2 linked regions of the Canis lupus familiaris genome follow. The protein of the gene in region 2 interacts with the protein of the main gene of each other region in a pairwise test. Links are inferred from orthologs where the notes say so. Each region holds a gene or a part of one and is shown on either strand. Other genes may lie near its edges.

Region 1 (4,005 bases), on a different chromosome or scaffold from region 2:
GGATTTCTTTATAGCCTGGCCATCAAATCTAAATTAGTTACTTAAGCAATTTTGTTAAAAAGAAAAAAAACACTTTACTTACACCCTGGTGTCTCCAACTAATCAAACTAAACTTTATTTCACTTGGTATATTAAAAAAATTGTCCTCATTTCAGGGGTTCTCTCCTATTGAAATGATCTGTATGAAAGTCTAGAATACTTAGTGTCTCTTTCAAGTCACTTGTCAACAAAGCAAAACTCTTTTCTCCTCATGCCATCATAAAAACTAAATTTCTAAGAACCATAAAATAAAACAAATATTCCTTTGACCCAGAGTTCACTTGCTTTTTGGAAAACAGGAAAAGCTCTGTGGTAATTCTGAATTGCTGCAAGGTAAGTAACAAAACGCAAAGTAATAACTGAACAGAAAGAGGATGAAACAATGCCGTGAGAGCCACCAAACTACTACACATACACACACAAAAAAACTTCTCCTTAACATATGGAATTTGTACGAGTCTTCCCTTGATAATAAAGTCTATGTTGTCAATAACCATTACCATATGCTATTTAAGTCTGCCATCACTTTCAAGTTGGGAAATTTCTTGAAGCCAAGTGGCAGCAATTCAGTTCAAAAAGCTTTCAAAGTGCCTCCTCAATGCCAGGCAGGGAGTGGAAGCTAAAGAAACCTATAAATACAACATAAAGTACACTCTCCGCATTGCCGCTTTACCTCCTATCTCCGGTAGCCATGATTCAGACCAGATCACTCATTCTTTGTATTATAAAACTACCTTCAAGAACTAAAAAAAAAAAAAAAGGAAAAGAAAAAATTTTCCTGCCGCACCTATCTGATGGGGCAGGGAAAGGAAGGTCGGGAAGGAAAGAGGCATTTTCTCTTCTATTCCTTCCTGAATAATCACCAATCTAGCATGCTTGCCTTTCAAGCCCTCCTAAAACATCAAAATTCAGTAGGCCTTTTGTAAAAGTGGTACTTAAGAATAACACTCCGGGATATGATGATAGCATTTAAAATTTAAAAACTTGTTACCGATCAAAAGATCCAATGCCATGACAAAGCTAAAAATGTTCTCACTAATAAGAGTGAATCAGAGCAGTTACCTACTCCACCCAATAGCCACCCTTGCTAAGACTGGACAGTTTGAAACCTGGAAAGCTTTCTTGCCTGCTCCAGAAACGAATTTGATTTGATACATTAGCGTTTAAGTGTAACTAAGTAATAGCAAGAAAATGTTACCAGATACTGAAATTTATCAGGACACTCTGTCCTTTAGATTTATCTGTACCTTTTTCAGCTACAGAACTAGAACTCTCGCCACCCCCTCCACTGATTTTTTTTTTTTTTTTAGTACGGAAAAGCTCCACGGATACTCTTGCTTGAAAGATGAGCTACCTGTTCAGATTTCTGAAGTACAAATTCCCGTTACTAGCTTTGCGAGGAAAACCTATTCCACGCAGAAGTGTCTCTATCGAAAAGGTGCCTGCACGTTCGTTCGAAAAGGCTGGAGCCTGCGAGCTGATGCCGCACATTTCAAGGCTTCCGAGATCTCAGCCCGCGGATGAAAATGATGTTCAGTCTTGCACAGACCTACTTGGATGTTTCAAAGTTGCACGGTTCGGGAGCAGCCCATCACCTGGGCAGAGATCTGCTTCCCCACCACCACCACCACCACCACCACCCCGCCCTGGAAAAGCAGCTTTTTGAGTCTCACGAAGCGAAACAACCACATCTCCAACCGTCCACGCGTCCGCAGACAATCAGGCAAGCCCCGGCCCACGTTTCTTTCCCCGTCCCCGTGAAATTCTCAATGAAAGGCTTTCACACACAAAAGGACCGGCTCCCGCCACCCCTTCCCTCCTGCGCAGCTCGGACGAGCGCGCACGAGCGCGGACTCACCAGCACCGTGGTGCAGATGGACCTCAGCTCGGACTCCACTTTCTCCCGATAGTCCTTAATCAGCTGCAACTTCTTGTCCGAGGTGTCGGTTTTCTGCTCGATGCTCGAGATGACCCGCCAGGCGGACCTGCGGCCCCCGACCACGTTCTTGTAGGCCACCGAGAGCAGGTTGCGCTCCTCGTTGGACAGCTCGGCGCCCTGCTCCGTCACGGCCTTCATGCAGGTGGCCATGTCGTCGTAGCGCTCGGCCTGCTCGGCCAGCTTCGCCTTCTGGATCAGCTCCGTCTTCTCCATGGGGACGCGGAGAGGAGAGCGAGGGCGAGCACCGACCCGGATCGCGAGGAGGCGTGCGGACGGCCTGCGGGCGGAGAGGCGGGGGCGGCGCCCTCAGACAATGCGCCCGCCGCCCCGGGCCGCCCGCCCCGCCGCCCCTTTTGTCCGTCCCCGCACGCGCCGCCCAGTTGAATTTCCCTCCCCCGCCCACGCTCCCCGCCGGCGCCCGGGAGGCCGAGGGGCGCCCCCCGCGGAGGCGGAGGCGGCCCGCGCGGCTCGGGGGTGGGGGGAGGCAGGGCCGCGCCCGCGCCCGCGCCCGCCCGGCCCAAGATGGAAGCGGCCGTTGGCCCACACCTTGCCGCCAGAGCCGACCCGAGGAGCGCGGCGTCGAGGCCGCCCACTCTCGCGGGGCCGGCCTCCCGCCCTGCCCTCGGGCCCGGCCACCGGGGACGACCCGGGGCGACCGCGGCGCTCACCTTCACGTCTCCGCGGCCGCGGCGCGAGTCCCACCACTTTGATCCGCTTTGGGCTTTAGCCGAGGACCCTCCCGTCTCAGCCTACCCCGGAGCCGAGGGGCGGGGCGCCGCGCCGCGGCCCTCGCTCCTGTCGCCCAATGACGCGCCGAGCTGCTCCCGGGAGTCCCGCCTCCGGCTCCGCGGCTGGCCAATGAAGGCTGAGCGCGCGGAAGGGGGCAAAGAGGGCGGGGCGGGAGGGGAAGCGGAGGCTAGGAGGGTGGGTCGGCTTGGGCAAGTTCGGTTGGCCGGCAGGCTGCGGCTTCGGCCACGGGGTTTCCTCCAATTAGATCCAGGGTAAAAGGACGTCACTGTTGCCATGGCGATGCTGTTACCAACTCCCCTCAGCCTCCCCGCCACCCCCAGCGCTTGTGGGTGCGGCACGGGAGCGGGAGGTTCGCACCACCTCTGCCGCCGTAGCAGCGTCTCCTGCTGCAGCAGCGCTGCAGATCGTGCATTGCATCTAGTGCGTTGCACCTAGCGGGCTAATGCAGCCGCGGCTCCACTCGGCCCTGGCGGGGAGGACCCGCGAGGCTGACCTAAGCGGCTCTTTGGTTGCACAAGCCCCTTTCTTTCCTCCACCTTCCCATTCGTGACAAAGGTTTGGAGCTCCAGACGCTGAACGCAGCCTTTAATGACGTTGCGATTGGAGCTGCGAATTAGAAATAATCCCATCCCCGTTAAAGAGGAATTTGTTCCAGGAGAAAGTCGCTTAAGAATGTGTCTTCGTGATCAACTCGAGTTTTCAGGCGGGCACCCAAAACCTAAAATTCTCTTGTAAAACCCCCAAGAAAGTCCAGGCAGGTCTCTCGGGCAATGGCCAGATATTCTAATTTTATTCTGACAGTCAGGATGTTTTGGAGAAAAACACACATTCAACACCCCTCCCCGCCCAAAGCAGCTGTTGTTATATCTCTTCCTCGTCTTTGCAGGTTATGCATCTAAATACATGTTTTTTCCATCTCGTTTTATGTGTATATGGGTTTTGTTTTCTAGTATTATTTTTCAGAGCACACGTGAAAACCTAAACTTGTCTCCCTCGATGTTCACTTTTGACTTTCTCCTGGACTTTCTGCTGTTCACACTCTTGAGAAGTGAGAAAGTTTGCCCCAGATGCTTTGTATTGGGGTCATCTCTAGCACTTTCTTTCCTCTTTAAAACTAGGCACACCCCTCCAGCCACTCCCTTCTCTCCTGGCACTTTGCCAGTGCCTGGCACATAAGGTAGCCCGTCCTGGGTGTCTGGGAAGAGGCCTCTGTGCCATCCTAAGATGAAAATTGCCATCTGGGCTCACACTGCTACGATTCCAGTTCTAGCACGTCT
Region 2 (3,845 bases):
GCTGGTATATCTGTTGGTTGTCGAAGCTGTGAGTGCTGAAAGTAACCTTCCTGGCCATCATCATTTCTGAGTGCATGGGATAGTGGGAGGGCAAGGAGTCCCCTGAGGAGCATACCTTCTTGGGTCCTGTGGGGAAGAGCTCATGGATGGCACTGCTGAGCTCAGCAAAGTCCAGGGGCATACAGTGCAAGGAGTGTAGCCGGAGTTGCGGGTCAGGCCTATAGGTGCTCTGGATGCCATCTTCGATCTGGTCCACGAGAATCTTGGCAGACTGCAGGAACGCCACCTGGCCTGTCTCCTTCAGTGCTTCCTTGGAATAGGCGATCAGGCCATCCATTTCATTCACTTTCATGGTTGTGACGTACACATATTTTTCAATCTCCTTCTGCCTAGACACCTCCAGATTCTCTATCTGCTCCATGATGGACTTCTCCTTCTCCTGTAGAATGCTGCGCAGCTTGAGAAATCCATTTCGGATCTCTTTTCGCTTCACCTCCTTGTCAGCTTTAAAGCTGTTTTTTAAAATGTTGAACTCCATTAGGTCATTATCAATCTCATAGCGGACTGCAAAACAACCAGGTTAGTTACTTTCGTTAAAATTTTCATCTCCCCAGGTGTCAAAGCCGATGGCAGACTGGAGAAATTTCCCATGGATCACGAGAAAGTGGGCAGAGAGGGAGGGAAGCCTCTTGTAGTTGAACTGAATTAGGCTAGAACAGGTTTATGAGGTGTATCTGGCCTCCCTCAGGACCCCCCTCTCGGCCTCCTTATCTAATACTTCCCTCAGGAATAACAGCCTTTCTTTCTTGGCATAGTTATATCTAATTTCGGTGGCCCTGGGTTGAAATGGAAAGTCCAAGGCCACCCTTGATATGAATTTTTACCAGATTTCTCTTGTCACCATATTGGACTTGAGAAGAGGTGATGGTTTTCCCTATGTGAAAGGTAATAAGCTTCTTCAGGGGCAAGAGAAAGAACTAAATTTCTCACAACTTCTAAATGCTGCCTCGCCTGCCTCATTCACCAAAAACCTAGCCCTAGATAACAGGAGGAAATCAGCCGGGCTCCCTCTCTTGCCTTGCCCCCATTTCCTTCCAAGAAAGAGTCTGCTATTGCACTCAAGGAGAACCTAATTTTTCCTGTATCCTCTTATGTGGCTTTGGATTTTAGGTTCACTTAGGCATTCAACAAACATTCACTAAACACCTGTTTCATGTCACATGCCTTCCAAGGTAATAGCGATACAGATATGAATATGAAAGGGCACTGATGCTCAAGGCACTCATAAATATGATGATACTACAGTATAGAGGGTGCTAAGACAGAATGTATGTGGCACATCTCTGTGAAATGAGCACCTTTGTTGGCTTTACAGTGATTTAGGCATCAGGCAGCAACAGCTATGTGAAGACATGTCAACCTTCTGTGGCCTAAAGGTAAGATCTTATCCTGAACAGCCAACTTTGCAGTGAATTGATGGGCTATAATTCTCACCAAATTTTACTCAGGAGTAGGGGTGCCCAAGAATTATTTTGTACTTGGTTCTTAACATTGTCCCGGGTGCAGAGTAAGCTGGACTTTTGTGGGTGGTGGCCATTGGAATAATGATGTGCATTTGAGTAAGAGAAACTCAGGAATCCTTTTGGGCCATGAGAACCGGTGTGACTGCTGTCTTGGTTATCACTATGACTAGGATGTGTAGAAGGGCTTGAAAGGTATTTATTCAGTGAAAGTCAATGTGTCCTGTTTTTTAACATCTTTAGGGTAAATGTCACTCTCTGGCCTATTTTGTGAAGCTGCCGTTTCCTCTGCCCTCAAGCTGGCACAGAAGGAATGAGGAGGCGATACAGATGGGGGCTGAACAGGAAACAATCAGGTGATTGCAGAGGTGCTGAGAAGTGCTTCCTGCTCTCCCCTGATGCAAACTCTACTGTGGCTTATGGCAGCTGAAATTCAACTTTATTCATTCATTTCTTTGACTATTCAATAGTTACTCACTGCCAAAGAAACTTGTAGGAAATTCCTTGCTTTATTAGGGATTAAGTTTGTGTAAACTCCTGAGAGGTAGGATAAAAATTCCTTAGTTGAGGGGGAAAGAGGCAGCACCAAGAGAAAAGAAAGAGGAGGCCAGAAGCACTCCTCCCCCATCTTACAAATATGACAGCTTTCCAAGAGCTGGTCCTAGAGCAAAGTTAAATCAAGATCTCTTTCAGGCAATACTCTTAAAAGTAGGTATTATTTGTTAACCATTTATTATAGACCAGACCTATATGATACACATATTATGGATCACATCTCTATATTATCATATACAACACGTATCTTCCTATGAGGAAGATATTGTTCCCATTTATAGATGAGGAAACTAAGGCTCCAAGAAGTTAAGTTACTGTCCAGTGTCACACAGCTAGTAAATGGGAGAGACCAAGTCCTATCTCTAATTCTATAAGTCTGACTCCAAAGGCTATGTTTTGAATTGCTCCAGTGTGGTTCTCAGCCCTCTATGAGCTCCAAAATCCCCTGGGGAACTTTATTTTTTTATTTTAAAAATTTTATTTATTTATGAGAGAGAGAGAGAGAGGCAGAGAGGCAGAGATATAGGGAGAGGGAGAAGCAGAGGGAGAAGCAGACTCCCTATGGGGAGCCTGATGCAACACTTGATCCCAGGACCCTGGGATCACAACCTGAGCCACCCACATGCCCCTTCTAGGGAACTTTAAAGAAAACTCTTCTCTTGACCTCACTTGCTGAGATTCTGAGTTGGCCTGAGTTGGGGCTCAGGAATCCAGATGAGGCATTTTGCTGCTGCAAATTAGAATCTAATTCAAGGAATTTTGGGGGGATCTTGTTAAAAATGCAGATTCACATGAAATTAGTATGGGTGGGGCCTATGATTCTGCATGCCTAACGGGCTCCTGAGTGGTGCCATTGTTGCTGGTCCTAGTTAGCTCCCCAGGTGGTTCCAATGTGCAGCTGGGATCAACACCACAGTTCAATCAATTGACCCAAACTTGATCTTCCCTCCCAGGCCCAGAGTTTCTCAGTGTATTGTCAGATCATCTGCTTTTGAATTACCTGAAGATCTGTTTAAAATGCAGATTTATGGCACCTTCCCCAAAAGTGAATTGAGTCCTTAAGAGCAAGTTTGAACCCTGGTTACAAAAATGGGGGGGTGGGTGGGTGTGGGTAGTGGTAGTTCCCTTAGCAAGGATAGGCAGGGTTAAATTCTTTACCTACATATAAATGGATATGCCTTGAAGGTGACCCCTGTCTCCTTCCAATTGCTGGGCTCTCTGGAATTTGTACTGGTGTCCCTTTACACTGAATTGAATTTCATTGTCTGGTTCCTAGGTGCCCTGGACTCTCAGAAACTACCTTGGGTTTCTCCTGTGTTAAAAATCCAGGCTTCCTGTGGTTGCATGGGGGCCACAGCAGACTGTAGGCAGCAGTCCTTTCCCCATGCTGAGGCCCCAGAGAATCTAGCTGAGCCAAGGTAGGGAGTTAAGAAAACCTTAAGAAAACCCATTAGGAACTAAAGGGGCTACCCATTTACTTGGCAATGTGGCTCCTTTAGAGTTTCTTTAATATAGAGACTTCCCTGGTGGTGGTTCTAAAACTGAATAAATATCAATTGATAAACAGTGTCTCCTAGTAGAAGTAATTGAGAAATGAAGGTATTCCAGAAATATCTATGCTAGGGAGAGGTACTAGGTGACAGAGTTAGCAAAGTCCATCTCTGACCCATTTCTATGTCCAACAGGACCTCTGTGCAGCTCAGAGAAAAACTGCCTCCCACTCATATGTTCAGGCATGTTTACACATGGACACTGAAATATCTGACAAAG

What was found. The genes of interacting proteins can lie anywhere in the genome.
Region 1: the proteins of TRIM42 (region 2) and YWHAQ interact in binary tests that used the Homo sapiens proteins (3 or more experiments, as listed by UniProt). The two-hybrid records come from large-scale screens. The link is inferred for Canis lupus familiaris from reciprocal best matches to the Homo sapiens genes TRIM42 and YWHAQ.

Annotation. Positions count from the first base shown.
Region 1 is NC_049238.1:6,702,214-6,706,218, forward strand, and holds the start of YWHAQ (14-3-3 protein theta), read right to left. Parts: upstream 2,801-4,005; 5' UTR 2,647-2,800; intron 2,256-2,646; 5' UTR 2,192-2,255; coding exon 1,898-2,191; intron 1-1,897. UniProt on the Homo sapiens protein: Adapter protein implicated in the regulation of a large spectrum of both general and specialized signaling pathways. Binds to a large number of partners, usually by recognition of a phosphoserine or phosphothreonine motif.
Region 2 is NC_049244.1:37,247,370-37,251,214, reverse strand, and holds part of TRIM42 (tripartite motif-containing protein 42), read right to left. Parts: intron 565-3,845; coding exon 1-564.